Linked DNA regions of Diceros bicornis minor. The protein of the gene in region 2 purifies or fractionates together with the protein of the main gene of each other region. This does not show direct contact. Links are inferred from orthologs where the notes say so. Each region holds a gene or a part of one and is shown on either strand. Other genes may lie near its edges. The genes, in order: MCM3 and MCMBP.

Region 1 (16,156 bases), on a different chromosome or scaffold from region 2:
CAGGCAGAGGATTGCCTTCTTGACATAGTCATGCCCATGGATACTAGGGGCCAACGACCTGGCCAGCTGGTCAAAGATATCCTACAGGAGGAATAACCAACAGAGTGAAAAGCCTAATGAGATTTAACGGGGCTTCGCTGAACTCCACTTGACACTTTAGCCTACAGAAAATGCTTGAAGAAACACACAAATATAGACCCTGTTTCTAATTGTAAAAGCTTCTCTCTAGGACAAAGCACATTGATCAAACCATGATCAGAACAGACACAGAGGAAGCCTAGGTTCCAAAACTGCTTAGCGGTTTAATCTTTAAGAAAAAAAGTGACCCCTGATCAAAACTGAAATCTGTTTATCCTTATACTTTACATAGACATCAATCAATAAATTATCTAAATTTTTAAGCCAAAAAAAAAAGTGTTTCCAGGTTCAATAAGGTTTCAGGTTTAACAAGAATGTGTAGGGGCCGGCCCAGTGGCGCAGCAGTTAAGTGCACGTGCTCTGCTTTGGTGGCCAGGGGTTTGCAGGTTCAGATCCCAGGCGTGCACCGATGCACCACTTGTTAAGCCATGCTGTGGCGGCGTCCCATATAAAGTAGACGAAAATGGGCACGGATGTTAGCCCAGGGCCAATCTTCCTCAGCAACAAGAGGAGGATTGGCATCGGATGCTAGCTCAGGGCTAGTCCTCCTCACAAAAAAAAAAAAAGAATGTGAATCTACTTTAGCAGTAACTTTTATCAAACATACATATATTTTGTTAAGCTCTAAATGTGGACATTCTGTCTTTAAAGAGAAAAAAAGAAAAACTAGAGAACTAAAACAAAACTAGCATACTATTTGAAGCAGCAATGCATCACTGATGTGCTCAGTACAGACTCACTGCTACAATGATATTCTAACTCCTAGTCTAATGTTTGTATCAGGTTCACTTAGCAGCCCAGCAGGTAGCACAACAGAAATACTAAAGAACAAACAGCAAAGACACCCTTTTACTTGCTGACTGGGTCCAAACTAGAAGCTAGCACCAAATATTTCAGAGGAAAAACCTTGACCTTCCTCCTGATCCAGTACAAAGACGGCCAGGCCCAAACACAACCCATACGAATCCATCCCCACCGGCAAGTCCCTAAAGGAGGCCAGACCTTGGAACGGGTTTTACTGAACTTCTTGATCTTGGCTATATCCTCCGCAGAGAACGAAGGCTGCATGTCCTTGCTCATCTGCTTCACATTACAGGCAATCAGGACCGTCCTGGGACAAAGAGGAGAAGAGGAAGCTGACTATTTTCAACTCCTAACACCAGAGCCTTTTTAGGCTGTTAATCCAAACAGCAAATTGGGAAAAAAGAAAGGCACTTCTGAATTCAACAACTGACTCTCCCTTAGGCTAGGACACAAATACGCTGATGACGCCTCATCTGAGGAAATTATCTCCACTGAGCCCCAGAGCTTCAGACAGACGTGTGTGTGGGAAGGAGGCAGTAATCTGTGAGAAACTCTCGGGTGAGCCATGAGGCTATAACCACGTCACAGTAACTCCCACTTTTAGCATAAGATAGTATTGCCAGTTTTATCTGACAGAAAAGAAGTATCCCATCTCCCAGGTAGAGTGTTCCACTTGTCTAACAGAACTCTCCAGAATACGGCAAACTGGAGAAGGAATACTACCAGAAATGCAAGCTGTCAGCATTCCAAATGCCTCACGACTGACCCTTTACCTGAAGGTCCCTGAGGTGTAGCCTCCCTTCTTTCCAGGAAGGCAACGGTAGGTCCCCACCACCTGGACTCGGTCACCAGGCTTCACTTTGTCCACCAAGTCATCATCCAGAATGACGTCCACAGAGCGGGGAAGCTGGCCGGCTGGGGCCTTCTCTGGCATCTCCTGGATGGTGATGGTCTGGTGGTCCTTGTAGACAGAAAGGCCATATTCTGTCTCAAGGGGATTGTTTTCCTCATCCTGGAAAAGGCACATGGAAGCAGTTATCTCAGCTCTGTCTTAGAAATGTCACATTCACTTGTAGGAAACAAATATCACTTGCAGACGACCTCATGAGATTTTAGTATCCAGGAACAAAAATAAGACCAATATCTTCTCAGCTTTTCCCATCCCTATCTGTTCTAGAAACAAACCATCTAATGGAAGGGTCAATCTACAGTCTGAAGGGTCCATGGCTGTATTAACATCTAAATTAAGATTCTCACCTCCCCTACTAAAGCTGATTATATGCTTACACTATGATGCAGTATTTCCACTCCTAGGTAATACCCAACAGAAACGTTCACCCAAAGCCACGTACTACAATGTTCACAGCAGCACTACTCCTAACAGCCAAAAATTAGAAAATATCCAAATGCCATCAACAGAATGGTCAAGGAATGTGGTATGTTCACACCAATGAATCCTATACAGCAATGAAAATGTATGAAATACACCTACACACAACATGGATGAATCTCACAAACAGAAGCCAACACAAGAGTATTTAGATAAAATACTAAAAATAGGCAAAAGTAATCTACACTGTTAGATATCAGGAAAGGGTTATCCTTGGGCAGTGTGGGCCCTCAAGAGAGACTTCTGAGTATGGATGGGACTCTGTTCCCTGGTTTGGATGCTGACTTTACAAGTATATTCAGCTCATGAAATTTCATCGAGCTGTACACTTAGACGAGCTTTCCTGTACGTATATCAAACTTCAGTAGAGACATTTTTAAACTTTTACTTCCTTGCCATTTGAATTTTCTAAAAACACAATAGCTATCACTTATTAAGTGCTTATCATGTGCAAGGTACTATGCTGTTATTTCATGAAATTGTCTCATGTAATCATCATAACAACTCAGTAAAGCAGGTATTTTTCACATTTTATAGATAAAGAAACTGAGGCTGGGAGAGGTTAAATAAATTCCCCCAGGCCACACAGTAAGTGGCAGAGCCAGGACTTGAGGCCAGTGGAACTCCACAGCCCCTGCTCTTAAGCACCACATGGGCAACCTCCAGGAGACCTGGCCCCATGTATCTCAGGGCTCAGACAAGGACACTTGGCCACAGTAATCAGCAGACGAGTACTCCCTGAGTACTTCCTGGAGAAGAAATGCTAGAAAGTAGGATTCTTAATGAAGAGAGCAGGGTGACTTAGAAAACGCAACTGGCCTGAAGTAGAAATACACGGGTCCTAGTCCTTAGGGCCATCACTAACTGGGACCACAAGCAAGTCATTTAACCTCTCCGGACCTCAGCATTCCGTGCAGAGGCAGACTAAATGATTCTAAAGTAAGTTTCAGTTACAGTTCTAAGATACTCACTCTTGTTTTAGCTGTTTATGTTAAGATTCCTCCACCAGTTGATAAAACGTAAGACAAAGACTGGATCTTCTTTATATCTGTGTCCTCCACAGTACCTAACAATTCTCTGGCTACAGGAGCTCTCAATTAAAATTTGATGGTGGGGACAGATATTCTTTGACAGAATGAGTTCAGACATCAAGTAATCAATATTAATCATCTTCTTTCGTCTCATTAAGTAAAGCCTCACATTGTCCTCAATTCGGATCAATCTGAACACTGAGAATAAAGCCATTTCCTATATACCAAACTTTTCTCAAACCCACAGTAAAATATTTGCAAAGATTACATAGTAACATTATAGGATAATTCTTTTTTCATATTACTTTAAGTAAATTATAAAATTATACATATAACTTTGTTAAAATATTGATGTACATTAGATGACTTTTTTCCTTCTTTCGACTCTTCCATAATTTTCCAAATTTTCTAACATTAATATTTATTCTTGTCTAAAAAATTAAGAATTGTGGACTTTCCATACTAAACTCTGACTAGCAATCTTTCCTTTAGATTTATCCTTACTTTTCACCCTATCTACTTTCAGAATAAAGACTTCAGATATTACCCAATTACTTGCAATAAACATTCTTCTTTGACTCCAACCTCCAAAAAGGCCCAATCAATCCAACCCCCTCACCTTAGTAGGATAGACAGAGCTGGAGGGAAAAGCCACCAGGGTGGTGAGATCAGAATAACGTCGCTCTATGGTCTTCTTGGTGGCAGGACAGTAGTGGACACTGCGGACAACTTTGGGACGAACTAGAGAGCCTAGGGATGGAAAATGTGCATATGAAGTCATCCAACTAGACGGTTACAGAGGTGGGATCTGGCCCAGGCAAGCCTACAATGACTCCAAATACTGTATTCTTCCGTCTAGTTTAAGCTATTTCAATAATACTTGTCATTTATTCATTTTTATATTTACATATAGAACATTACCAGGTCCATGTAAAACTTTAAGTACAACCGATCCCAACTGAGAAACAGCAGGAGTTCAGGGTTAGAATGAGAAGACTGCCAAAAGCCAAGACTCCTCCACTCTCAGTAGAACTCATCATTCTGTTAGCACAGGCAGTCACTCAAGTCCCCCTAATCATTGTGGCCACTCAGAGCTCCTCCGAGTTTCACTCTGTAATTTCAACGCTCCTCCTTTCTGAAGCTGTGTAGCATAAGCTACACAGCTCTACTCCACCTCTCCTGCTTTCCCACACCCCCAACTCTATCCCACCTCCATTCCCTTAGACCCCACTTTAACCCACTCACACTTAGTGACAATGCCCTCCACACAGACTACACAGCTCAGGAAGCAGGAGGTAAGAGTCCGGGGAGATACGTGCTTGGAGCCAAAGCTGCCCTCCAATCCAATGTAGAACTCCTCATACTGCTTGGCATAGGTAGCATCAATGGAGGCCACAAAATCCTTTAAGGCCCGCTGGAAAGCAACCAGCTCCTCAAAGGCATTGCTCAGGAGGCTAAACATGAGCAAGAGAAAGAATAATTAGGCGGAGATGGCAGAGCTCAAAAAAACTGACCCTCAAAACAGAAGTGAACATTCTTAGGTGATCAAGGCCAAGGAGTGAAAAATGTAGCTCCTACTTTCTCCTGCCATCCTACAAGACTCAGTAAAACAGACCAGAACCAAGGGCCAACTTGAATTCAACTCATCAAAGATTTAGAAATGATACTCAGCTAAACACGGAAGAAGGAGCTCTTGAGAGGAAAATGCCCACCACCTACTTTTGGAAGAAGATAAAAACATAGGAACAGGTGAGGAAAAGAGGGCTCCTAAGCCAAAAACATTTCATCCAGGTCCTTTCCTGGGAAGCCTGTTCCACTCTGGGGGGAGAGAGAAGGGAGCCATTCTCACCCAGAGCCAGGACATCCCCTTGGAAACCTTTGCCACTCACCGGTTAGCCCTCTTCTCATTTTTCCTGCGCAGGTCATTCACGTTGACAATCAACCGGGCTTGGTTGTCACTAATCAGCTCCCGAACTTTGCTCTGATAAATTCCCTGGTCTTCCTGCAAAATAGCCACCACATATAACAGCAGCCACACATTCAAAAATAAGATGTTTTTAAACAGAGGCAACTCTCGCAGCAAGATAAATAAGTCAATCTCCGCGGCAGAGCAGAACCCCAATTTCTCCCATATTTTCACTCACTAGCTTCAGATTCCAAACACACCCTAAGAGGACAGCGTAGGAATTATAATGACTTCCTTAAAGTCCATGCTATTATTCCTTTTATCATTATCGGCTTTTCTGTATGTAGTCATTTCTCAACCTTTAATGGGCAATTAAAACGAACTAATAAGAAGGACAGTAAGTAAGAAGCTTGTTAAAATGTTAATAAACGGGCTTTTAATATTCACATTAAAATGACTTTTAAGACATGTACAGAATTAAAATATTTTATTTTCCAATCATGTATATAATACAGAAAGAGTTCTCATATCCAGACCTAAAGGAGTTGGGAGCCTCAGCTATTTGTTTACAGACACAGCATTATCAACTCTTCAAGATGCTTTACCAACATTCTATGGCTTTCAAACTGGGTTGTGCACAAAACCCCCTTTACCTGCATACCAGACACTTTCTGCATCTCACCTGGTACTGAAAAAGAACGCGGCCAAATTAGGAAGTCAGTCACTAAAACCTGGGGACCCTGAAACGCGGCGGGTCACCACCGCTCTACAGCCCTACCTCCCCCTCCCTCCCTCCAAATTATGAGAGCAGGGAGCGACTTCTAAAAGGTCAAAGGGAGCTTTGCCATTTTATTTTTGCGAGCCCCGGCCATCATCTGTACTTGGGAGAAAGTCACAGGACCGCTCTCTAAGAGTTCCCCTACGGAAAACCGCTAACGACTGACTCCTCCGCTGGAACAGTGACCAGCTCGGGGTGGAGGGCTCCTGAGCCGAGTCCCGGCGGTCCTCCCGCTCCCGGCCCTGCGGCTCTGGCGTGGAGCGGCGTCCTGCGTGGCCTCCCTCGGCCCGTCCGCGTCCCCAAGGGCCCCAAGCGCCAGAGTCTCGCGACCCGGCGCCTCGCTCACCTCGTCATCCAAGAAGTCCAAGTAATCTCGCTGCGCCTCCCGCAGCTCCACATCGTCCAGCACCACGGTCCCCGCCATGCTTGCCGCCTCGGAACTGCCTCCTCCAGAGCCGCGCGGAGGGTCCCTGGATGACCCCGCCCCGGCGCGAAAACTTCCGAGCTTTTCCCGCCACCAGGGGTTACCTCGAGGAAGGGGCGGGGGCTCTGGAAGCGTATAAACATTCTGATTGGCTGACTCCTCTGACGCCAGAATAGTGAGTATCCAATCGAGAGCTGCTGCTGCTTCGCGTTTTCCGATCTGCGCCCCGCTGTGGCGGGAAATGTGCCATCCGGGGCCTTCTGTTTCTCCCCTCCCCGCTCCGCCCTCACTGACGGGAGAGCTGACCAATGGGGCCGAAGGGAGGCTCGCGGAGCCTGATCATTGGGCGGCCCAAGGCGCCGGATGCATTCTGGGAGTCGTAGTCTTGATATTCTGTCCCCTGACCTGCCGCAGAGTGAATGAACTCAGCGCGGCGGTTGTACTGAGAACAGGCTGAAAGTCAGAGAATGGGGGTTCATAATGCAGGGAGATGAAAACATAAAAGCAATTTTATTTTAAAATATATTCAGATCTGGCGTGCTAGATATGTTTCTCAAGCAACTATCCTCAACTGGCCTCCAGGGGAAAAAAAGTGAATTTTGACAATCCGTGGAATGGAAAATAGAATCCTAGCTTCTTTGGGAAGGGTTGTTTAGTTCAGCGACCCATTTGCTCTCTGAATACTGTTGCCTGAAGTACCCCATAAAAATATCAGACCGCGGAGGAGGGTGAAGTGAAAAAAATTTTCGGCATGTACCCCGCCCCCTAGAGATGGCCTCATGTGTTGAACAAACTTTGCACAAAATTACTGCACCATCTTACTTGCAGATGGGTAAGTTAAAGGCTTTCTCGCCTTGTAGGAAGATCACAGGACCTTTTTTAAAAACTTAGTTTATTGAAAGACAAACACAAGGAGAAACAAAAAAAGTGTTTCAAGCCACTCCAGTATCAATCAGTAATTAAGATATAGCAAATCTGAAATTATAAATAATTAAGAGATAAATTGCATGTCCAAGTGTTTTTTTGCTTGCTTTTAGTCTTTTGTGGTTTGTTTAGATTTTTTAGTTTCATTTTTGAGGTATAATTTATATACAGTAAAATGCACAAATCTTAAGGGTGCAGCTCAATGAATTTTTATTATGTATACATCCATGTAACCACCCGGTGCACAATAAAGAACAGTCTCACTGCCCCAGCGTGTGTTTTTGATTTTACTGAATGGGAAGCTAAAATACCAGATTGCCTAATACTAGACACCTGGTAATTCTACAGCAGAAATTGCGGCCAACTAATTATTAGTTTATGTTCAAAGGTCTCTAGGACTCACTGTGCCCTGATAAATATTCTCAGTATAATCTACCTAAACAAAACATATATGCCATCTATTTGTACGTGTATATATATTTTTAGTTATTATACAGTTTATAGTTGCTATATGTTTGGTGTCATCCTAGTGGGCAGATAAATCAATCCTTAGTCCAAGAAAAAAGGCCAGTCATCTTGTTTTTGTTTATATTAACAGGCAAAAAGAAAAAGAAAAAGAGATTCTAGGATGAGGATCCTGTTTGCAATTATACAGTAAGAGAAAATTACTTTTAACTCTAGTGTACCTTTATCACTTGATGGTAACTATCATTTTATGAATGTATTGAAAGCAACATTGACAATATTCTCTGCTCTGGAAACAACTTGAAATTAACACTAAAATAACCAGGAAGCTTAGTTCAAATAAGCAAAAAAAAATCAAGTCATTTGCAGTGAAAAGTCCAAAGGAGTGGGAGTATGAAAACCCAATCTGTGACGCTAACACACTTTTCTCTGGGCTTCAGTTTCCTCATATAAAAGATAAGGAAATTAGAAAACCTCTAATAGCTATCCCACTGTAACATTCGTGAGCCTATCGCGAATTTGTAAACTATGTAAAGACAATTCCATTTAGAATTAATTATGCCATGTTCCTCAATAAGGACTTGATTTGCTTTAATGTCATTGTCTTCGGCCATGAAGATCATGCGGATATTTAATTAGTGTTTCCCCTTCTTTCATTAGGGCATGAGATCTTTGAGCAGAGGAAGGATGTTTCCTTTGTTATCTCCTGCTCCTCCAACTGCAGAGAGAATCATCAATCAGATGCTGCTATAATCAAGTTAAGGGCATTTGTACATATCTCCTACAGAGTCCAGCCAAGCTTAGCCAATGGCTCTCCTCTGATTCTTACTCAAAATGAAGAAGCACAGGTAACCTGGTGAAGTTCCATTTTTGCTCACATTCTTGCTTTCCCTCTGTATCCATTTTCTCTCCACCCTAGGCCTCCATGGACCTAAGCCAATCTCCAAGGCTAAATAAACACTAGGGGGCTCCCTGGAGAGCAGAAATATGCAGGAAGACAGTGGAAAACAAAGACTGCAAAAGTGTACATAATGCTTCCACTTTTCCGTGTCCTCAGGGACCAAACAGTACCCAAAGGCTCAGTTCAACTAAAAAATATTTAGTAAATACTATTTATGCTTACTAAATGATATATATATCCTTGTTCAAACCGATGAACAATATTATATGTTGCAAAACTTTTCAAACAATACCCTGTGATTAATCACTAGCTTTAGGCACTCAGGAAGGTGCCATAATCCCTTATAGTCCTTTGACACTCCCTCAAAGGCCGCAAAAGCTTCAATGTAAAAAACTCTACACCTCTAGGTGCCAGCACAGCTTAAGGAATAACCTGCAGGCCCAGGCTTGCCCTGGCCAAGCAGATCTGTTCTCTTCTGTGATATGGACAAGTCAGAATCTTCTCCTGATGCTGCAGTCCAGGGTCATGAGCACCACGACAAGCAGACTTCCTTTCTCTTTCTGGCTGCTCTATTTACTAGTTGTGTGACTGAGCGACTTACTTAACCACCCTATACCTCAGTTTTCTCTCCTTTAAAATTAGGACAGAACTAGTATCTAGTTCAAAGAATGGTTTGAGTATTCAGTGAGGTAATAACAGATGTAAGATATTGAGAAAAGTGCCTGGCATGTAGTAAGAACATTCACAGTAAGTGAATGTTCCAGTGGTGGTGGTATTAGTGGTTGGTGAGGGGTCAAGAGATGCTGGGGAGAATGGGGAGGAAGCACCCTGGTGTATTCTGGAACAATTAGACAAGCAAATTCAAGCCCCCTTTCCACTCCCACCAAAAGCTTACAATAGAACCAATCCAGATACTTCTTTGAGTGAGACCTTGTTTGCTGCAAATCCAATTGGCTAAAGGAGTATCACATTCACAGACAGGATATTGGTTGCCTTCGATTCGGCCAGTGTTGAAAGCCATCAGAGGCATTTGCTCCATGCTTAAGGACCATTATGGAAGACCAAATGGTCCCTGGAGTTAGCCGGTGTGCCTTGTAAAGACAGGAGAGTCCCATAGCCTCTGCCCCTCCAACTTTTGCTTCCTGGAATTCTTTGGGTTAGATATGCTACAAAGAGGAGGAAAATCCAGAAGCCAGGGAGCATGCATGATCCTGATTTGCCCATTAAATTTGACATCACAGTTGGGCCTGCCAACAATTTGTGATTCATTGTCATTTGCCAAGGTTAATTTGAGCAATTGGGTTTCTTCATCTTTGAAAAGTCATCCCCATTCTTAGTTGCACAAATTTCACGCAGCTGTTTGAAGAGCTTTGCTTCCATACTTAGAACCACAGATTTGCAGGAGGAAATTACAAAAACTTACTGAGTAAATATGAATATGGCATATGAAATTCTCTAATAATAACTCCACTCTGTAAATATGTCTAGATTTAAGTGTGCATTTTAAAAAATATAGTCCCTCAATGCTTTAAATTGTGCCAATGTAATGAAATGATGAAGACATTTAGCCATTCCAATCAAATATGAGTTGAGCATCTGTATACCTAAGTCTGTCCCTGGCGAGAGACTCTAGATCAGTGCTGCCCAATAGAATTATAATGCAAGACACATATATAATTTTAAATTTTCTAGTACCTACATTTTAAAAAGAAAAACGTGAAATTAATTTAATATTTTATTTAACCCGATTTATCGAAAATATTTCAACATGTAATCAATATTTTAAAAAGTATTGAGATATTTTACCTTCCTTTGTAGTAAGTCTTAAAAATCTAGAATGTTTTTTATACTAAGCCACATCTTGATTCAGACTAGCCACATTTCAAGTGCTCAATCACCATGTGGCTAGTGGCCACCATATTAGACAGTACAGCTTTAAAGTATAAAAATCTGTCTCTTGGGGCCAGCCTGGTGGCGTAGTGGTTAAGTTAGTGTGCTCCACTTCAGCAGCCCGGGGTTCACAGGTTCGAATCCTGGGTGCAAACAGACGCACTGCTCATCAAGCCATGCTGTGGTGGCATCCCATATACAAAATAGAGGAAGAGGGACACAGATGTTAGCTCAGAGCCAATATTCCTCAGCAAAAAGAGGAAGATTGGCAACAGATGTTAGCTCAAGGCCAATCTTCCCCACCAAAAAAAAAATCTCTCTCTTGAAATAGCTTTGATTTAACTTGAAATAATAGCAACCATTTATTGAACACGTACTATATGCCAAACATGATGCTGAGCACTTTACCATATAATCTCATTTAATCTTTATAATACCTTGTGATGTGGTTATTTTTAATCCTCATTTTGCAGGTAAGGAGTCTAAATCTTAAAAGATCCCAGAATCCCATACCAGTAAGGGACAGAGGCAGCATCTGAACCCAGGCCTATATGGCTATATTGAATAGCATTTAAGAACAAATGAGTATGTTAATATCCAAATGCAGAATCTGACCCATAAGACTCAGTGGAAGTTACTTAAATATTAAGTGAACAGATATTTTATATTTTAGAATAATTGACTTAAAAAGACAGTGTATTGTATTTTTACCTTAGTGCATTGTAGTTTTTCTTAGTCATTTTACTGTTTAAAGTATGGAGACCTTTCTCTGGGCATCATGAATGCCTTCTGCTAGTTTACAGATGGGCTAGCATCTGTATGTGCCTGGTAACATTTGTTTATTCATTCATTTAATCAATTATGCATGAGCTGTGTATGAGACAGTAAATTAGATATTTATAATCAGTTTTTATTTGATCCTTCAAGTAAAGTGTACATCATCATTTTGAAGTTTCAAAATATTTAAAATGCCTGTATTTATTCAGCCAGGAGGGCTTTGAGATGCTGATATTTACTCACACTACAAATAATACTGCTTGTGTTTTCTTATATTATATGCAAGGTATTTAGGGGGATACAAAGATCAAAAGTTTACAATCTAGTACAGAAAATAAGGTACAAACACGAATAACCATGAGAAAATGCAGCGTGTTCTAGGCATGGTACAAAGTGCCATGTGCATTAAAAACAGCAGATATAAATTTGTACAGGAGTGATGAGGGAAAGCTAAAGAAAGGAAGTAGTATTCGATTTAAGGATCAAAAGGTGGGCCATATTTCCTCTAGGGGAGATGTGGCAGCAGTGACATTCTAAGCCAAACGTAAAGGCAGCGATGACCAAGCCTTGGGAGAAACTAAGGTGGCTGGAATGAAGGGTCAGCGGGAGAGGGGGTGCAGGGTGGAACCGGAAGCGACCGGTGCATCGGGCCTGACTGTAGAGGACGCTGACCAGGAAGTAAGAAGACCGTGCTGGATTTCGTAGGCAAAAGGGAGCCATTGATGGCTTTTGAGCAAAGGAGAGACAGTATCAAAGTTGTGCTTTAGGAAGATTAATCTGGCCAGAGGCTGTGTGGAATGGATTCTTTAAATCAGATAAAAAGAAATGAGGCCTGGAAAGGGGATTCAAAGAAGGGACAGAAAGAAAAGGATGGCAGTGAGACATTTTAGGGAAAACAGACAGACCTAAAAGCTATTTGGATGGAAGTAGGAATGAGGGAAAGAGCAGGATAAAAATTGCATATATGTAGAATAAATACATGTGCCTCACGCACATGTGAGTGCCCCAAGGGCTTACAAAATGCATGTAGATGTTAATGATCTCTATTTGGATTTGGATCTAAATTTAGAATGAACAATTGTTTTGCAGTTAAGATACAGAGGAAAAAATTTAAGAGATAACCAAGTCTCTCAAAACACTGTAGTCAGGAGAGGAATACAACTTTGACATTTAGTTCCAAAACTTTGTCTAGGACAGTATGAAAAAGGAAAGAAATTTTTTTGTTGTTGAATTTTAAAACAAAGTATATATAAACTATACCCCAATAAAGCAAAGTGTATATAAATTTTGCCTCAATCAAGTCTATACTAAGAATCTAAGCAAAGAAAATAAATCATAAAAGCACCATGACTGCATCTGGTCAGCTGGCATGGCAAGGGGGGGAGGAGGGAAGAGCCAGTGTTCTTTGAAGTAAACTGAATATTAGTTTTAATTGGCTCCATGCCACTTGACTAAGAAGCTACAGTTCCTGTCCGCAGTGTTCACAATCAGTTGGATAGACGAGAAGCCAGGGTTTGGGAAGACTGAATCTCATTGCATCCTGTACTCACTGAACATCTGACAACATAGGAGCAGAATTTGAAAGATGTTTATGAGGCACTTGGGACACAAGCTGCAGAAATGGTCGTATTGACCACTCCCTTGCCCTTTACGGAAATATACATAAATCACCTCCTCTATTCCCCACCCCACCTCATACCCGCAGTTCACTTCCAGCACCTTCCTACATTCTTCTAGCTCAGTGGTGGGAATCTTGAGACAAAAAGAAATATAGGCTTTCATTATCCTTCTTCCAGCCCTCCAATATTCTGTTGGTTTTAGAGAGCACAGAAAACCGTTAACACTCTAATTTTAAGTGCTACAACGATCAGAACAAAAATCTCTGAGAAGCTGAGCAGTTTAGTGTTTACCTCATCTCCCCAGCCTTTCACTGGATTCTTTGATGCGTCTCCAAAAAATATCTCTAATTTGAAACCAAAGCCAGATGGATATTTTTCCTGGCCTGTGTTCATCGTTAGCCACCTGCTTCTCTCTGCTAATACAGGAAGGGGATATGAGAAAACGGAAGGTGTTGGCTCAGAGCTCTGGAGGTCTGGGGAAGGTGCCTTGTAAAATAATCATTCTTTATTCACTGCCATGCTCCAATGCCACCTTCATTAATTGGAAATGCAAAGTATGCCAACAATGTTTATAAAAAAATAAGTGAATATCAGAGTGCATACTAGAATTTCAGAGCTGGAAGTCACCTTAGAGGCCATTTAGTCTGAAGCCCCATTTCATAATCTAAACAACTGAAGACCAGAGAAATTGAATTAGATCTTAAAACCCATATATTTAAAATAAATTAAAGGGTTTTTAAAAAAAAAAAGGTAAAGAAATATTCAAGACACAACTAGACTCTGAAAGAAAGGTGGATGTGAGCAAATGAAACTTTTAGAATTGAAAAGTACAGTTATTGAAAGAATAAATTAATGGATGAGTTAAAAGCAAATTAATGGACAGGTTAAAAGCAAAACAGACACATCTGAAAAAAGAACTAGTAAACTAGAAGATGGAGCTGAGGAGATTGCCATAATGCAGCAGAGTGGAGAAAATGAAGAATACAAAGAGAAGTTAGGAGAAATGAATGGTAGAATGAAAAGGTTCAAATATATCTACTGGGAATTCCAGATGGAGAAAAATAAAGGACATAAAAGACATAGTAGCTGAGAATTTTCCAGAATTGATCAAAGACAAGAATCCTCAGGTTAAAGAATCACAGTGAATCCTAAGCAAGGAATATAAAATTAAACCTTCACTTAGACACACAGTAATGAAACTCAAAGCACCAGGAATATGGGAAAAATATTAAAAGCAATCCAAAAGAAAAGAGGAACAAAATTTTAGACTGACAGCACATTTCTCAACTGCAACAACAAAGGCCAGAAAACTATGAATAATATTTTCAAAGGCCCAAAGGAAATAACTGACAAGCTAGAACTCTATACCTTGCTAAACTATTAAAGAGTTAGGGCAACAGAAAGATTTTCAGAATAACACTCCAGACCTTTGTTGAATGGGCTCTGTAATTGTCTGCTCGGGCTGCCATAACAAAATACCACAGGCTGGGGGGCTTAAACAACAGAAATTTATTTCTCCTGGTTCTGGAGCCTGGAAGTCCCAGATCAAGGTGTTGGCAATGTTCAGTTTCTGGAGAGAGCTCTCTTCCTGGCTTGCAGATGTCCACCTTCTTGCTGAGTCCTCACATGGCCTTTCCTTTGAGCACGTGCACAGAGAGAGAGAGAGAGAGAGAGAGACAGCGATCTCTCTTCCTCTTCTAATGAGGCCACCAGTGCTATTGGATTAGGGCCTCACTTTAGGGTCTCATTTAACCTTAATTACCTCCTACAGACACCTTCTCCAAATACAATCACTTTTGGGGGTTAGGGCTTCAACATGAATTTTGGGGGGACACAATTCAGTCCATAGCAGACTCCTAAAGGATACATTTCAGGAAGAAGGACATTGAATACATAAGTAAGGAAAAAACAACAGTGAGCAAAGAAATTGGTAAACACGAAGGTAAATCTAGAGAAGTGTTGACTCTAAATATCAATACTAACAATAATGACGAATTTGGAGGAGGATAAAAACTAGATGGAAACAACTAGCGTTATTCAATAGTACTTTTGACAATGATGGAAATGGTCTCTATCTGCTCTGTCCAATATGGTAGCCATTAGCCACATGTGGCTATTAAGCACTTAAACTGTGGCTAAGCAGCCAAGAAAATGAATTCTTAATTTTATTTAACATTAATTAAGTAGCCACATGTGGCTAGTGGCTACCTTATTAAACAGCACAGCTTCAGACAATAACATGGCAAATGGCTAGAGCAGATCAAAGTTAAAGATTCTAAGGTCTTTACTTGGAAGGAGAATGAACATTTTGAAGGCAGTTATTCATGTTGAAAATTTAAGGATAAAGACTAGAAAAATTGAAATGGAATGTATCATTTCTCAAGTAGAAGAGGGAAAAGAAGAATAAAGAAAACACTTTCAATATACAGAAGACAGGAAAAGAGGTAGAGAAAAGAAATAAAATAGAAAGCTTGAGAAATATTATAGAAATAAATTAAAAACTGGTTTATTCTTAAAATGGAATACAGAAGTTTAATGGAGCCTCACATGTCAAGAAAATAGAGTGAAAAAATCAGGTAGCAAAAGATAGGTACAGTATTAAACCTTTTATATAAAGTTTCAAACATTTAAACTATTACTATTTATTTTTAACACACAAATATATCAACTATAACAATATGCATGAGAATGAATGACAGAATCCGACTTCAGGATAGTGATTTCTTCTGGATGAGGGACAGTGGGAGGGGAGTAGATCTTTAGCCGAATCTAAATATTTTTAAAAAAAGATTGGAAGCAAATATGACAAAAATGTTAACATATAAAACCTGGGTGGTGAGGGGCCGGCCCGGTGGCGCAAGCGGTTAAGTGCGCGCGCTCCGCTGCGGCGGCCCGGGGTTCGCTGGTTCGGATCCCGGGCGCGCACAGACGCACTGCTTGGTAAGCCATGCTGTGGCGGCGTCCCATATAAAGTGGAGGAAGATAGGCACAGATGTTAGCCCAGGGCCGTCTTCCTCAGCAAAAAAAAGAGGAGGATTGGCGGATGTTAGCTCAGGGCTGATCTCCTCACAAAAAAAAAAAAAAAAACCTGGGTGGCGAGTACTTGGGT
Region 2 (15,416 bases):
AAGGGACCCCGAAAAGCCAAAACAATCTTAAGAACAAACGAAGTTGGAGGACTCACACTTCACGATTCCAAAACTTACTACAAAGTTACAGTAATCAAGACAACATGGTACTGGCATGTACATATAGATTATATGTACATATAGATTAACGGAATGGAATTGAGAGTTCAGAAATAAAGCTCTACGTCTATGGTCAATTGATTTTTTTTCGACAAAGGTGCCAAAACCATTCAGTGGGGAAAGAACAATCTCTTCAACAAATAGTGCTGGGGAGCTTCTGGGTTGCTGAACCCAACTACATGCTGAGAATGTAGCACATTCAAGTTCCATGGAGACAGAAGTTTCTCCACGAGGGACCCTTCCAGACCTTGCCCTGTGTACCTCTTCATCTGGCTGTTCATCTGTTTCCTTTATAATATCCTTTAAAATAAACTGGTAAACGTAAAAAAACCCAAAAACCAAATAGTGCTGGGACAACTGGATATCCTATTGCAAAAGAATGAATTTGGACCCTACCTCATACTATACACAAAAATTAACTAAAAATGGATCAAAGACCTAAATGAAAGAGCTAAAACTATAAAACTCTTAGAAAGATCATAGGTGTAAATCTTTGTGACCTTGCTTTAGACAACGGTTTCTTACAGATGGCACCAAAAGCATAAGCAACTAAAGGAAAAATAGATAAACTGGACCTCATCAAAATTAAAAACTTGTGTCAAAAGACACTATCAAGAAAGTGAAAAGACAGTCCACAGAATGGGAGAAAATATTTTCAAATCATATATCTGATAAGGGTCTAGTATACAGAATACATAAAGAAGTTCTTATAATTCAACAATAGAAAGACAAAACCCCAATTCAAAAATTTGCAAAGGATTTGAAAAGACATTTCTCCAAATAAGATATACAAATGGCCAAAATGTATATGAAAAGATGCTATCATCAGTTGTTAGGGAAATGCAAATCAAAACCACAATGAGATACCACTTTACCACCACTAGGATGGATATAACTAATAAAACAAGGAAACATAACAAGTGTTGGAAAGGATGTGGAGAAATTGGAACCCTCACACACTGCTAGTAGAAACGTAAAATGGGGCCGGCCCCGTGGCTTAGCGGTTGAGTGCGCGCGCTCAACTGCTGGCGGCCCGGGTTCCGATCCCGGGTGCGCACGGATGCATCGCTTCTCCAGCCATGCTGAGGCCGCGTCCCACATACAGCAACTAGAAGGATGTGCAGCTATGACATACAACTATCTGCTGGGGCTTTGGGGGAAAAACAAATAAATAAAATTAAGAAATGTAAAATGGTGCAGCTACTTTGGAAAATAGTTCTAACATAAAATTAGCATATGACCTAGCAATCCCACTCCTAGGTATATTCCCAAGAGAACTGAAAACGTATATTCAGACAAAAACTTGCACATGAATGTTTATTGTGGCACTATTCGCAATAGCCGAAAAGTGGAAACAACCCAAGCGTCCACCAATGGATAAATGGATAAACAAAATGTGGTATATCCATATAAGAGAATATTATTTTCGGTCATAAAAAGGAATGCAAGTATTGACACATGCTACAATATGGATGAACCTTGAAAATATTATGCTAAGTTAAAGAAGCCAAATACAAAAGGCCATATGTTGTATGATTCCATTTATACGAAATGTCCAGAATAGGGAAATCATAGACAGAAGTAAATTAGTGATTGTCAGAGGATGGGGGAGGGGGCAATTGGGAGCGACTGCTAACAGATATGGAGTTTCTTTTTGTGGTGATGGAAACGACAGTGGTGAATATAATAAAAACCACCGAATTGCACATTTTAAAATGGTGAGTTTTATGTTATGTGTTATATCTCAATAAAAAAACCGATAATCAGAAACAGTTAAAAATGGTGACCTCAGTGGGAGAAGAGCATACTTTTACTCTTCATTTAATAGCATCATTTTTTAACCATGTGCAAGTTATTATTTAATAATTTAGAAATTCATATATACATATTTATGCCTTTTGCCATGGCCATCCAATCCATTCTTCTTCTCTTGAGAAGTTCGCCCACTATTGACGAGTGGGCCTCAACAGTTATGACTGTCCTACATAACTCTGTGCCCTGGCCATAGCTGACTGGTCCATGAGTGGAACCCTGACTCCATGCTGGGCCAATTAGATTCTGTAACCCCGGAATTTGGTATTAAAATAAAGATGCTAGCTCCTGTGGGATGGACCTGACAAGGGAAATCAGGAGCTGTGGAGCAGAGAAAGATAAGTTTGTGTGCAGAGATGAATATAGCCTAAGGAAGAAAAACTGATAAGAGTTGCTTGGACTCCTGCTGGCTTTCCAGTTCCTGATTCTACTCAGTAGTCTCTTGGGATACCAAGCAACCTCCCCGTCTTTGGGATCTATAGGCTTATAACAATTTCTTTTTTCCAGTGGCCTACCAAGGGTGGTGGGGTGGTATGAGAGATCCAAGGTGGGTACAGACAAAAGGGAGTGAATTGTCTGTTTAGAATCATGGAGACAATAAAAAGGCAGATGGACTTTTAGTCAATTTTATTATTGCTTTAAACTCTAAAAAGCTAGTGATCACATACTCCCACCCCGCCCTCCTCCACACACCACTGCTTTTTTTCACGAGCTAGTGTAGTTCTAGTTCTGTTAGACACAACCAAAGGACCCTGAATATAACCAAAAATAATGATCTTGACCCAACCAACAACCTATAGAGAAAATAGTGAAAGAAATCAGAGTTGATAAGCATTCCTACTTCCTCTGAAATTAACAGTAGTTATTAATTCAAGTAAAGAAAATTTCCTTTTTTTAAATAAAAAATGATTAAAAGAAAAAGAAGCATACAAAACTTTTTTCTTTTAAAGATTCCTGCTTTTGTTTAAGAAAAGCAATTTGATATGGGTCACTAAATGAACAATCACTGTGGGGCCTAGGCCATTAGCACTATGAACATAATAGAGCCCAATAAAGTATTCCTATATTTCAAGCCTTTGGACAATGTCCTGTATATAAAATCTTTCAGAAACTGGAACTAAACATTAAAGGCATTTTATGAAGGCTTACAGGAAAAATTTACATATTAACAACTGTAATATGGCAGATATAAATTTAAAATACAGCTTTGTTCACAAAGACGAATTATGATTCATATGGTTATGACTGGCCACTATGAGAACTTTAAAGTTTCTTATTTAAACCAAGAAGAAAGAATTAGGATTTGCATGTGAAAGCTAACTCATTCCTGGTATGATCATATGCTCTGAACCAACATAAGGTCCACCAGGACTGTCTTAAGTTTGAGATTTGTGGTCACAGTAACCATCCCAATTTACACCACTTCTGATCGATAATCCGTCTTTCCACTGCCTCTGTTCAACAAACGTTCAGTGAGCATTTTCAATGTACGAGGCGTACTCTAAGCAATGACGATGTACTAGTGAATAAGGCAGATACAGGCCCTGAATTCCCAGAGTCAAATATAGCAAAGGAACCCAAGCACCAAGCGATTTCAACAATATGCTTTACACATCCAATTTCCAGGACATACAGGATCCTGTAGTAACGTGGAGCAGGGGGTACATAACTTAGGTGCTCAAAGAAGAGTCAGATTTAGCCAGGAAAGTGGAAGTTGGAGGAGAAGGGGGGGGGACCTGGGAAAGTTAACAGCCTATGCAGAAGGCCTAGAAGCCAGGTTCAAAATCAAAGAACTGAAAGAGGGTTCAATAAGAGGGAGAACGTAGTGATGAGGTCTGAGGGCAAGGCAGGGGTAGAACCCAGAAAGGCCTCAGAAACCACAAAAGACTTGCAGTACTTTTCTACCTGGAGAAAAAAATCGATTCAAAAGAATTTCCTACTAAACCAAAGAGTCTACAAGTTTAACACCTGACTGACTTATCACATGAACATACCTGTAATGCTGTTATTATAAAGATATTCAATATATTCACAGTGATAGAAAATATAGTAAAAATATATACTATGCTTCAGAACAGCTTCTACAAAAAATTCATGACTGTAAAACAGTATTAGTTTCTCCTCTATAAAACACAACCTATATGAGATTAAGACAATCCAGGAGGAAACACATCAATAAGGGCCAGGTCCCCTCAACAATTCACAAAATTTACAAAATAGTGTAAAGCCAATATTTTATATCCAAATTATACCCTTTCAGTACTATAAGGAGATGTGGCCCTTAGGATCACACACACAGGAGACAAAATCTGACCCAAATACACTCAAATCCATATCAAATATAAAATCATCTCATTTGTCCAGCAAGACTAGGGTATGGGGTAGTTCTCGTAAATAAATTTTCTAAATATCGTAACTGAAACTTCACCTTTTAAGCCCAAAAACTTTTTACTTTTGAAGGATTTTTCCTAAAAAGTATCTATGCAGCTGCACCCTTGTAAACCAACTGTGCAATTTCACCTTCACTCCACATTTTGGGGCCATAATTTTGGACCTCAATTATGGGTTTCAGTATTCATTATAAAAATTAATTACTAGGATTTAGTGGAGGGATATCTGCCCCTTCCTCAAAGCACCCTTAATGGATATATAATGATTTTTTTTTGCCTTTAAAAAAAAAAAATATGTACATAGGTTTTCACTTCTTCTTTATCAAGTTGTCAGTGTTCACTGGCTACAATCCGGACGCCTACTCAGGCCTTCTTCTAATTTGCTGCCTCTAGTTTCAGCCTGGGAAACCAGATAACTAAACTAGTTCAAATTATAGGGAAAACGAATAAAGAGTTGCTGAGTGAGTCCCTCCTACAAGAAATACATTTTACGCCATCAGTTTTGGCTGCTGGGGACTATCTAGCTTCTTCTTAGGCGTTCTAACATCCCACGACGTTATAAACGAGCTAAAGCCACTCTACAACTCTAAGTTACCTCCAGACAAGTCAGGTGCTACGATCTAATACAGTGATTTCTGGCTGGGTTTGCCTCCACCACACCTAAGTGCAAAAAGACCTGGGGGAGGGGGTGTCAAAATGCCCAGTTAAGCACAAACAAACCTAAATTTTCCTCCGTGTACTCTCAGCAGAAAAGTAGCATTAATAACAATTGCAACTATAATTTACTAAGCTCGTCTGCAGCATTCTAAGCTCTTTGTAGGTAGAAACTCATCTGAGCAGGTCAACATTTCTTGCTAGCTCTGGCCCAAGAGATGTATACTAGGCAGGTTTTCAAGTCATCCTAACAGAAAAACTAAGCGATTACACTAAATCTTATCTCGAAAAGGGAGGATGTGTGTAATACAGTAGTTAGAAGCAACTTCTGCGGCGAGCGAGCACTCCCCCGGCACACCGGAAGTTTTGAAATACCCTGCAGGCTTCCCCACAGGCAAAGTGCTTTTCCCTCACCCCATCTCTGCGGGCCCCCCGAGGGGGCAAGGAGCTCTCCGAGTACTGCCGCCCGCGGGCTCGGCCCCGGGAGGGGACGCCAAGGGGAGCGAGGCCGTCAATCACGGCCGGCAGCCGGCTCCCCGCCGCATAACCTCGGCTCGCGAACCCCGAATCGGGCAGGTGGAAGGCACCTGCGGCCGGGCCCGGGGGCCCGGGGGCCCGGAGACCCGGCGTCTCGGCGCCGGCCGGCGCAGGCCCGCTGACCGTCTCGGCCGCGCGAGCCCTCGAGGCAGCCCCGCGTGGGGCCGGGCCCGGGCTCGGCAAACTCGGCGGCCAGCCCGGCCCGCCCCCGGCGCCGCCACTCACCGAAGAAGCCCTGCACGATCCCGAGCGGGTGGCTGAGCCAATCCTCCCCACACGGCATCTCGCCGACGGCCCGGGGCCGGTGCGGCCCGGCGTCCCGCGCCGCGGCGCCTCCTCGGGGGCTCGGCCGCTCTTCGCCCGCGCCCTCCCACGCAGGGCGAGCCTCGGGGCGCCGGCCGCCCGGCCTCCCCGCGCCTCAGGGAACGGCGGCTGTGGCGGCTGCAGCCCAGGAGCTGCTGGCGCCGGGCAGGCGGCGCGTGCGGGCCCCCAGCCTCCACTTCGCACAATGGCGGGAAATAGGCGCCGCCGACCGCGTTGCCTGCGACCTGGGTGGAGCTCGCGCGGGGAGGGGCGGCGGGAGCGCGCTGCGCGGCCCCGCGGGCGGGCGAGGAGGCAGGGTGGGCCGTCGGCCGGGGGCGGGCCAGGCCGGGGCGGGGCCGAGGCGCGGCGGCGGGCCGGCCGCCATCTTGGAGTCGGGCAAAGGAAGGGCATGCGCGGCCTCGGAGAGGGTGTCGCGCGCGGAACGGGGCGTCGCGGGCCGAAGGCGGCGTGTTACTGTTTGTCACCCTGTGCAAGCGTGATGGGGGAAATTCCCAAAATCTGGTTTATTAATTCGTAGCGAGGTCTTGTACAGGTCGGAGGCCGCAGCAGCTCCAAGGCACAAGGCCAAAGAGAACTCCGAGTCATCTCTGGGCAAAATTAGTGGGTGAAGCAGCGTTTGGTCACCGCCCACCACCTCTTGGTGCTTTTTATTTTGGCTGGTGGCAACTCTTTTCTCTGGCGCCCTGCCCGAAACCCTATCTAGCGACTTTCCCTCAGCTGGATAAAGTCTTACCCATTTAGATAAGGGGGCTTTGAAAGACCCCGAGCTCCCTTTGCTGTCATCTCAGGCACTGTGGTAGAGGGACTAGTTCCTAATTGAGGGGTCAGCTCAAAACTGCGAAAACAGACCGAGAGCAGCGTCTGCCTGGAAGCCTGAACCAGCCAGGGAGCTTTGGCGAGGCTCCTGCAGAACGTGTGTATCAGGATACCTTCAGAATGAAGACGGTGCCATCAGCACACACAAAAGATCAAATCTGCGGTGACCTTTTAATGAGGAAATTTGGAAAATGTGCAAGTACAGTAATGAAACTGCGTGTTTCCCCTAGGCCTAGGGAAAACCCCAGTCTCATCAGCTGAAAATAGGGCCTGTTAACAGGAGGATGATCTGAATGGAGTCTAGAAAGTGGGGAGCCAGAACAAGAAGAACGGAACTCAGATCTCAAGCCCTCTTTAGGGCAAAAAGGTTTAATTTATATTTCTCATTGTGAACTAATTAATTGGCATACTGGATTATACATCTGGCTTTTGTGAGTTTGGGTGAGCTGAGAAAACTGGGTTGCAAATCCGGGGCATTACCACCACTTTGCTCATTCATTCATTCCTTTAGCAGAGAGGGTTGCCAACTCCCTGGTATTGAATGGAGAAATCCCATATTTTAGCTTCATGGCCAGTAATTTGCAAATTAAATTTATGACATGAAAATATCTGCTTTTAAATCATAATACTTTCAGATTTGCTTTATATGCAATTGCAGCTGGACACCAATTTAGCAATGGCTAGGAACACTTCAGCTTTTGGTCTCTCCCTCTGAAGAGTATTTAGTGATTTATTGAACAAATAATTGCTCAGATTTTACTTGAAGAGACACTGTAATCATTCTGAAATGTAATTATAATGTGAATAATTTCACCCTCTAATTTTCCTATGGCAAGATGTGTTGATACTACTACTAAGTAGTTGTGAAAATGTAAGAGGCCAGGGGAGGGTCCATGAGGGTACATCTCCATGGCAAGATTTTTTTTCCCACTGTCAGTAACTGCACTTGCACCCCCACCCAGGAAGGCATTAAGTAACGCTGTCTGCAAGTAATTATTGAGGGCATTGGAGATACTGGGATGAAAAAAGGAGAGACCATCTCTGCCCTCATAGAACGTACAGTCCTGTAGGAGACTTATTACTAAATAATTATTCATTTACAACCATGGTAGGTGCCAGGCAAGAAAAAGTGAAGCTCTGTGAGAGGAATGAACAGCACCATCTATTTTACTGAGGGAGGGTTGTGGGTAAGGGGGAAGGATGCTTTGAGCTTTCCTGAAGATGTGACATTTACACTAGGACTTGAAAGATAAATAAGAGTTAGCTAGCTGAAAAGTGTGAGGAAAAAGTGTTCCAAGCCTAGGAAAACAAAACTTGTATAGAAAAATTAAAATAATCACAATTTATTATATGACTTAGCTATTAATAGTGTTCACAAAGTCATAATAATGTTAAAATTTTAATGTTGATCTAGCCACCATTATAATTTAACTTAGGAGGCTGGGGGATGAGAAGATTTCATATATGTGATAAGGACAAAGAAGATCAAAATAGAGTAAAATCCTCATATTTTGTGTGGGATGTAATGCAAAGGAGACAAAAAGGAAAAACTGGAAGTGACAATGTAATTTTAATTTAAAAATATAGAAATACTGAAAGAATCAGCTGAAAGGATTGAATGTAGTTGCCTCCAGGGTGGGGTAAATGTTTCTTTTAAACATTTGCTAGTTTTCTATGTACTTATTACTAATTCAACCCTGACTGCACTAGAATTTCCACTAGATTGTAAGATCTTTGAAGCAGTGATTTTGGTATTTGTATGCTGTTTTGTTCCCTGGCACCTAGAACAGTGTCTGGCATATCATAGGTGCTCAATAAACAGTTGTTGAATGGATAATGCACACTTCCATCAATTGCCTAGATCTCTTCTCTAGATAATTAGACACATCAAATCTTCTATATACTTTATTTTTCTGGGACATCTTTCCCAGAGCCTTTCGACCTGTTCCAAACTGAACTTGCTGCCCTCTACTTCTTGTGTAAAACTGTCTTCCTAGCATCTCCTACCACCATTATCCTAAATATTCTCTTTTCCTCTTTCATCTTTTAACTGAGACCAAAAAAATCTGTTCCCTCCTTCTTCCATAGCTACAGATAAGTTGCCCGGGGAAGAACTGCATTTCCTAGCTACAAAGGTGTAGCGGAAGCTGGTTGCCTAGCTAGGCACTACATCTTTCAGCCTTCTTTGCAGCTAGGTAGGGCTCTGTGATTAGATTCTTATCAGTGAACTGTGAATGAATGAGATGTCTGGAACTTCCTTCAATTTCTTAGGAGAAAAGATTTGGCCCTGGATATGCTCTTTCCTCCTTCCTGATGGTGAGATGGTGATGACTAGAATGACCTTGTGTTAAAGACAGTGTGGATTTTCATATGAACATTGCATTCTGAAGTCTCTTTGTTACACCTGCTAGCCTTACTGTAAATAATTCAGAAATTGGTATCAGAAGTGGAGTGTTACCATAACAAACAAAAAGTAATGTGGCTCTAGTTTAGTGGTTGGATAATGGGTTGTGACAGGTGAAAGGCAAAATGCCCCAGACAACGAAGGAGAGGCTTTTATTTAGGTTGTTGCAGTAGGGAGACTATTCATTCACGAACATCTCCAAGAAGAGGGTTAAAATTTGAGGTTTTATAAAACAAGGGAGTCCTTGAGGAAGGGTAGAGGTGGGTCTTATGTTGGAATATGCAACAGCAAGGTGGTCCTTTATAGTTAGCCCTTTCTTAGAACACAAAAGGGAGAAGGGATTTCTCAACTATTCTTGTTTTCTGAGGAGTGAGTGGGGCCAACAAGCAGGGAAGTTGGACTTGTTGACCGAGTCCTGACCTTTCTGGGCCAGTTCTGCAAAGGTTGTGGGTCAGAGTTCTCTTGTCAAAGATGGTCTGGCCATTGTTTGTATATTCGATATCTCAGAAAAATTGTGCAAGCCACATATGTAATTTAAAAGTTTTTAGTAGTCACATTTTTAAAAAATAATTGTATTTATTTTTTCCCCCAAAGCCCCAGTAGATAGTTGTATGTCATAGCTGTATGTCCTTCTAGTTGCTGTATGTGGGACGCGGCCTCAGCATGGCTGGAGAAGCGGTGCGTCGGTGCGCGCCCGGGATCCGAACCCAGGCCGCCAGCAGCGGAGCGCGCACACTTAACTGCTAAGCCACGGGGCCGGCCCTAGTAGTCACATTTGTTAAACAAAAAATCCAACAGGGTAAATTTAAAGATCAAATTGGCTTTATTTGGTGATTCATGAATCAGGCAGCATCCCTTCTGGCAAATAGAAAGGAGCTCTGCTGAGCTGTAGAAAAGGAAAAGTTGTTAAAGGTGGAAAAGGGGTGGAAAAATGAAATTATTAGCAAAGAATTCATTGTTTCAGGCAAGCTCACCCTCCTAAGAAGAACAGAAGTGGCCTATTGGGTGGATTTCCTCACTAGTGCTGACCAGGTAACTCCAGGTTGACTGGTTAAAGGTTACGTTCCTGGGAGAGGCTGAACCTGCAATTAGGTTAGGTATTAAGTCTTGGTTTGCCAATGTGGGGCTTAGCACAAGTGACTCCATTTTGGGCCTATTGTCTCCTTTTTAACAATTTTCTGTTTTGATCAGACTCTCAGCTTAACTGAGAGATGTGATCGAAATGTAAGGAGACATTTTAGCTTCTGCTCTGTAGTGCTTGCAGCGTTTGTTCATCCTTTGTGTGGTATTTACAAGTCATGATGTTTTTTGGTTAATCTCTGTGATATTCACAGGTCAGAACTTCAGGTTCATGGGGCCGGCCTCCTGGCATAGCGGTCAAGTGCATGTGCTCTGCTACTGGCGGCCCGGGTTCGGATCTCGGGCACACACCAACGCACTGCTTGTCCGGCCATGCTGAGGCGGCATCCCACATATAGCAACTAGAAGGATGTGCAACTATGACATACAACTATCTACTGGGGCTTTGGGGAAAAAAAGGAGGAGGATTTAGGCAATAGATGTTAGCTCAGGGCAGGTCTTCCTCAGCAAAAAGAGGAGGATTGGTATGGATGTTAGCTCAGGGCTGATCTTCCTCACAAAAAAAAACAACAGCAACAACTTCAGGTTCACAATCTTCAAGTCAGTGTTCCTTTTCTGACGTTCCAATATTAGGGAGATCATTTGCTTGGTGGTTAGTGACTGTGAACATGCATTTAGAGCTTTTGAGAGAATACAACACACAAGGGAGATTACTATGATTATTACAAGCAGGATAATTCCCAATGTATGGAGTGCACTTTGGAGCCGTTGTCCCCAAGACCCAAATCATCAAAATCAAATAAGTCAAAGAAAGACCTTGTTGAAAGAGTCACCTTTTTGAGTCAAGTGGCTTGCTCAGTGATATTATGTAACTGAGTTTCAACTTCTCCAGAAGTGTTAATCCAGGTGCAGCAGGTGGTATTGGCCACAACACAGACACCTCCTTGCTCAGCTAAAAGAGAATCAAGGGCTATGGCCAGAGAGTCTAAGGATTTCTGTTGGGCAGCTATCGTTTTAGCAGATGATTCCACAGGACTTTAAAGAGTTAAGGAGAGGTTCCTGATCATAGCCTCATTTACATTTACACCTAACCAGGTAAATATGGCCCTGCCAAAGGAAATGAATCCTGAGTCATGAATGCCTCCTGGTAATTCCTGTCTGAATCTGTGGCTCAGGACTGGAAAGGCGACAGCCATCGAGGCCAGTAAAATTTTAAGAGTCTGTAGACAACACAGGTAGTTTTATTCTGGTTACCCTTGCCTTGTGTCCCTTTCTTTGCATAGAGCCTGGACACAAAGTTCTTCAGGTTTGGAGTTATTAATCAGAGACAGGGAAATGGACCAGGGGGTCTCCAGCATCATGGACAGGTCAGTTTCTGATGACAAATCCAGTAATCTGAAAGGTTACCCCCCTTAGCAATGGCCTAGGAGATATGGGTGATGGTGTTATATTTCCAGGCTGATGCCAGAGTAAAGGAAAGAAAGAGAAGAGAGGGTTTCATGTTTAAAGAATGAAGTCTTGATCCAGAGTCTTGGGGGGGAAGCAGTCTACCTCCACGTCAGCTAGTCCTCTTCCTCGTCCATTTGATCTGGAGGTCTCCAGCATTTGCATAGAACCACATGTCAGGAGGAGCCTTCTTTTAAGGTTCAAGTCCCTGAAGCTTGGCTGCCATCTGGGTAGTGAGGAGGACCTGGTATAGTCCCTTCCAAGGAGATTCAAGGGCAGTCTTTGTTCTTAGTGATTCCAAATCAAAAGTGTAGGAGGAATTGGAAAGGTTAGTTTGGAGAGTTGTAGTCAGATATTTGAGGAAACTAGAAGAATTCAGGATCCAGCCCAGTTTACAGGTAGTTAACAGAACCTTGAATACAGTTAACAAGATCAGAATCTAATATAGACAAAGGTGCAAACATAGTTTTTCTCTCTATAATTATCCCCATTTCTTTTTTTCCAAGGATAATCACAGTAAAACTAAATTGTTTGCATCAGACTTGGCCTGATTATTTACATTTACATAAGAGCAGCAAAAATAGTGATTGACCATAGAAGCTCTTTTAAGACTGCTTTGCTGGAACTTTGTAAGCAAGGTACTAGGTTGATTTTTTCATGGGGCTTTATTCACTCTGTAAAGTCAACCTTAGTTCCTTAAAACTGTCTGGTCATATCTGAGTCTATGCATATCTCCCTCAAATATGACAATCCAGTCAAAGTCTTGGTAATATAGCCAGTGTTTCCAACAGTGTCCTGTTACAAGCAGAACTTATGCCAATAACTAACTGTATTGTCATGAAAAGAATACTGAAGGGGCCAGCCCAGTGGAGTAGTGGTTAAGTTTGTGTGCTCCACTTTGGTGGCCCGGGGTTTGCAGGTTCGGATCCCGGGCATGGACCTATGCACCGCTTATCAAGCCATGCTGTGGTGGCATCCCATTTAAAGTAGAGGAAGATGGGCATGGATGTTAGCCCAGGGCCAATCTTACTCAGCAAAAAGAGGAGGATTGGCAACAGATGTTAGCTCAGGGCTAATCTTCCTCACACACACACACATACACACACACACAAAAGAAAAGAACACTTAAGAGTTTCTGAATTTTGGAGGGATCAGGTAGGGAAAAAAAGTAAATGTTTCATTTTTGCTTACAGTGGTATATTTTCCAAATTGTGGCAAGTCATAGACAGTTTCAGAGAAAAGGTTTCCTTAAATCTGGAAAAACAAAACATTAAAGAACCAGCAATGTTTATGAGAACATGATGTAATCCATGCAGAAATAGAAGTATAATGATGTACACCTGAAATTTATACAATGTTATAAACCAATGTTACTGCAATAAAAAAAAAAGAAAGAACCAGCAATGTTTTAAACAAGTCATAAAAATTATAATCATCCTCTTCAGTTCATGTTATTAATTCTTGTTCTTTTTGAATCCAGTTTTTTTTCATTACTTCTGGAAATTCTTACCCAGTTCAGTCTTATAATCTTAAAGTTATCAGAAACCTGTACTTGTCAAAATTCTTTCCATAAAGCTCCTTGAAGATGAAGCACTTTTGCAGGAACACTTTTGCAAAGCATCAGAATAAAACAATAACTCTCTGTAAATGACAAAAGACTTAGAAGTGCCTATTATTAAAGATCTAATGAGAGTTCATTATAATAGAATTGACAAGAGAGTTTGGTTATTGCTGTGACACACAACATTTTAAGATAGTAACTGGAATTATGACTGATAACATCATACCAATTACTATGTTGCTGTCCAAAAGAAGGCCCTGTGTGTACCACCACCAATTCCTACTACGGAACCTTGGACTGGCGAAAGGATTGAACCAGCAGACCTCAACAAATGGGGACTGTGGACTGGGGCCTCCACACAAAGGGGAACTGTGAACTGCCACTAAGAGTTCCCATGTGGATCTTAGGACAGAATCAAGGGCTGGGGTTTCCAATCAAATGGGGAATTGCAGACTGAACCAAGGGCTGGGGATTCAGCTTCTGGATGGAACAGTCTGCCAGCTCAAGCTGACCCAGAAAGCCCTGGAATGGAAAGCCAAGTAGATCAGGAGCTCAGTGCAAAGAAAATGGAGCTGAGAACTGAGAGGAATTTACCCATGGCCCTTGGAAATGGCAAGAAAGACAATGCTCAAAGGGTTCCTCAGGTACCACACTTGTTTCTTGTTGTCCCTGAATGCCAGCAAAAGTTTGCTTTGGATCTCGTTGCTTCCACCAAATCTGTTAAAAAACAAAATTCAACTGAATAAATTTAAAGATCAAATTGGCTTTATGCAACAACTCATGAATCAGGCAGAAACCCATCTAGCAAATAGAAAGGAGCTCCACTGAGCTGTAGAAAATGAAAGGTTTGGGGCTGGCCTGCTGGCATAGTGGTTAAGTGTGCATGCTCCGCTTTGGCGGCCCAGGGTTCGCAGGTCCACATCCCGGGCGCAGACCTATGCACTGCTTATCAAGCCATGCTGTGGCAGGCGTCCCACATATAAAGTAGAGGAAGATGGGCACAGATGTTAGCCCAGGGCCCATCTTCCTCAGCAAAAAGAGGAGGATTGGCAACAGATGTTAGCTCAGGGCTAATCTTCCTCACCAAAAAAAAAAAAAGAGAGAGAAAGAAAGAAAGAAAGAAAAGGTTTTTAAAGACCAAAAGTGGGTAGAAAATGAAATTATTAGCAAAGAATGCAATGTAAGCTGGCCCTCCTAAGGGGCATGGAAGTGGCCTATTGGGTGGATTTCCTCAAAGTACTGACTGGGTAATTCCAGGCTGACTGGTTAAAGGTTACATTCCTGGGAAAGGCTGAACTTGCAATGAGGTTAGGTATTAAGTCTTGGTTTGCTGATGTGGGGCTTAGCACAAGTGACTCCATTTTGGGCCTGTTGTCTCCTTTTTAACACATTAATAGAAGTAAAAGGAAACAGGTAACATCAATTTTAATAATATATTTAACCCAACATATCTAAAACACTCTTTTTTTTTTTTTTTTAAGATTTTATTTATTTATTTTTCCCCCCAAGCCCAGTAGATAGTTGTATGTCATAGCTGCACATCCTTCTAGTTGCTGTATGTGGGACGCGGCCTCAGCATGGCCGGAGAAGCGGTGTGTCGGTGCGCGCCTGGGATCTGAACCCGGGCCGCCAGCAGCGGAGTGTGCGCACTTAACCGCTAAGCCACGGGGCCGGCCCTAAAACATTCTAATTTGAACAAATAATATGAATATTATTAAAGGATATTTAAGGTTTTTTTTAACTAATTTGTTTTTAAATCTAGTGTGTATTTTACACTTCTAGCACATCTCAATTCAGACAGCCACATCTCTAGTGCTCAACAGCCACAAATGGCTAGTGTTACCAGATTAGATGGCATGGGAAAAACTGGGGCCTGCCAGGATTGGAAAAGCCAGTCAATTCATTATTCAAATCACAAGAGGTAAGCATCTGGCTCAAAGGCATTTTCAAGGGTCCTTTAAGACTTTTCACGTAAACGAAAGTATGTAGCCCTGTGGCAAAGGTCAGATCAAGGACGTAGCTTTGCCACCAAGCCTATTGCTTCAGATGGCCCCAACTTAACCACCATTAGGCTGAGAGAAAAAAGAGCTCAGGGCAGACAAAGAAGTAAAGATCATGGAACTAACTGGAAGTAAGATACCGGGAGCCTGGCCTGAAAAAGACTGCAACTGTTCAAGCCTCAAAGCAAACTCATACTAGCAGGAAGTGGACTGCCAAACCTGTAAAGTCCCTGAAAAAGACATGCTTCCCAATGCCACTTCAGATATGGCCA

Evidence for each region.
Region 1: the proteins of MCMBP (region 2) and MCM3 purify together in Homo sapiens (affinity purification with mass spectrometry; 10 studies listed by BioGRID and IntAct, counting the BioPlex papers as one, with this or other methods). This does not show direct contact. The link is inferred for Diceros bicornis minor from reciprocal best matches to the Homo sapiens genes MCMBP and MCM3.

The regions. Positions count from the first base shown.
Region 1 is NC_080753.1:14,593,771-14,609,926, reverse strand, and holds the start of MCM3 (DNA replication licensing factor MCM3), read right to left. Parts: upstream 6,531-16,156; 5' UTR 6,472-6,530; coding exon 6,394-6,471; intron 5,366-6,393; coding exon 5,253-5,365; intron 4,818-5,252; coding exon 4,609-4,817; intron 4,114-4,608; coding exon 3,983-4,113; intron 1,955-3,982; coding exon 1,716-1,954; intron 1,250-1,715; coding exon 1,141-1,249; intron 82-1,140; coding exon 1-81. UniProt on the Homo sapiens protein: Acts as a component of the MCM2-7 complex (MCM complex) which is the replicative helicase essential for 'once per cell cycle' DNA replication initiation and elongation in eukaryotic cells.
Region 2 is NC_080745.1:82,616,085-82,631,500, forward strand, and holds the start of MCMBP (mini-chromosome maintenance complex-binding protein), read right to left. Parts: upstream 6,024-15,416; 5' UTR 5,797-6,023; coding exon 5,739-5,796; intron 1-5,738. UniProt on the Homo sapiens protein: Associated component of the MCM complex that acts as a regulator of DNA replication.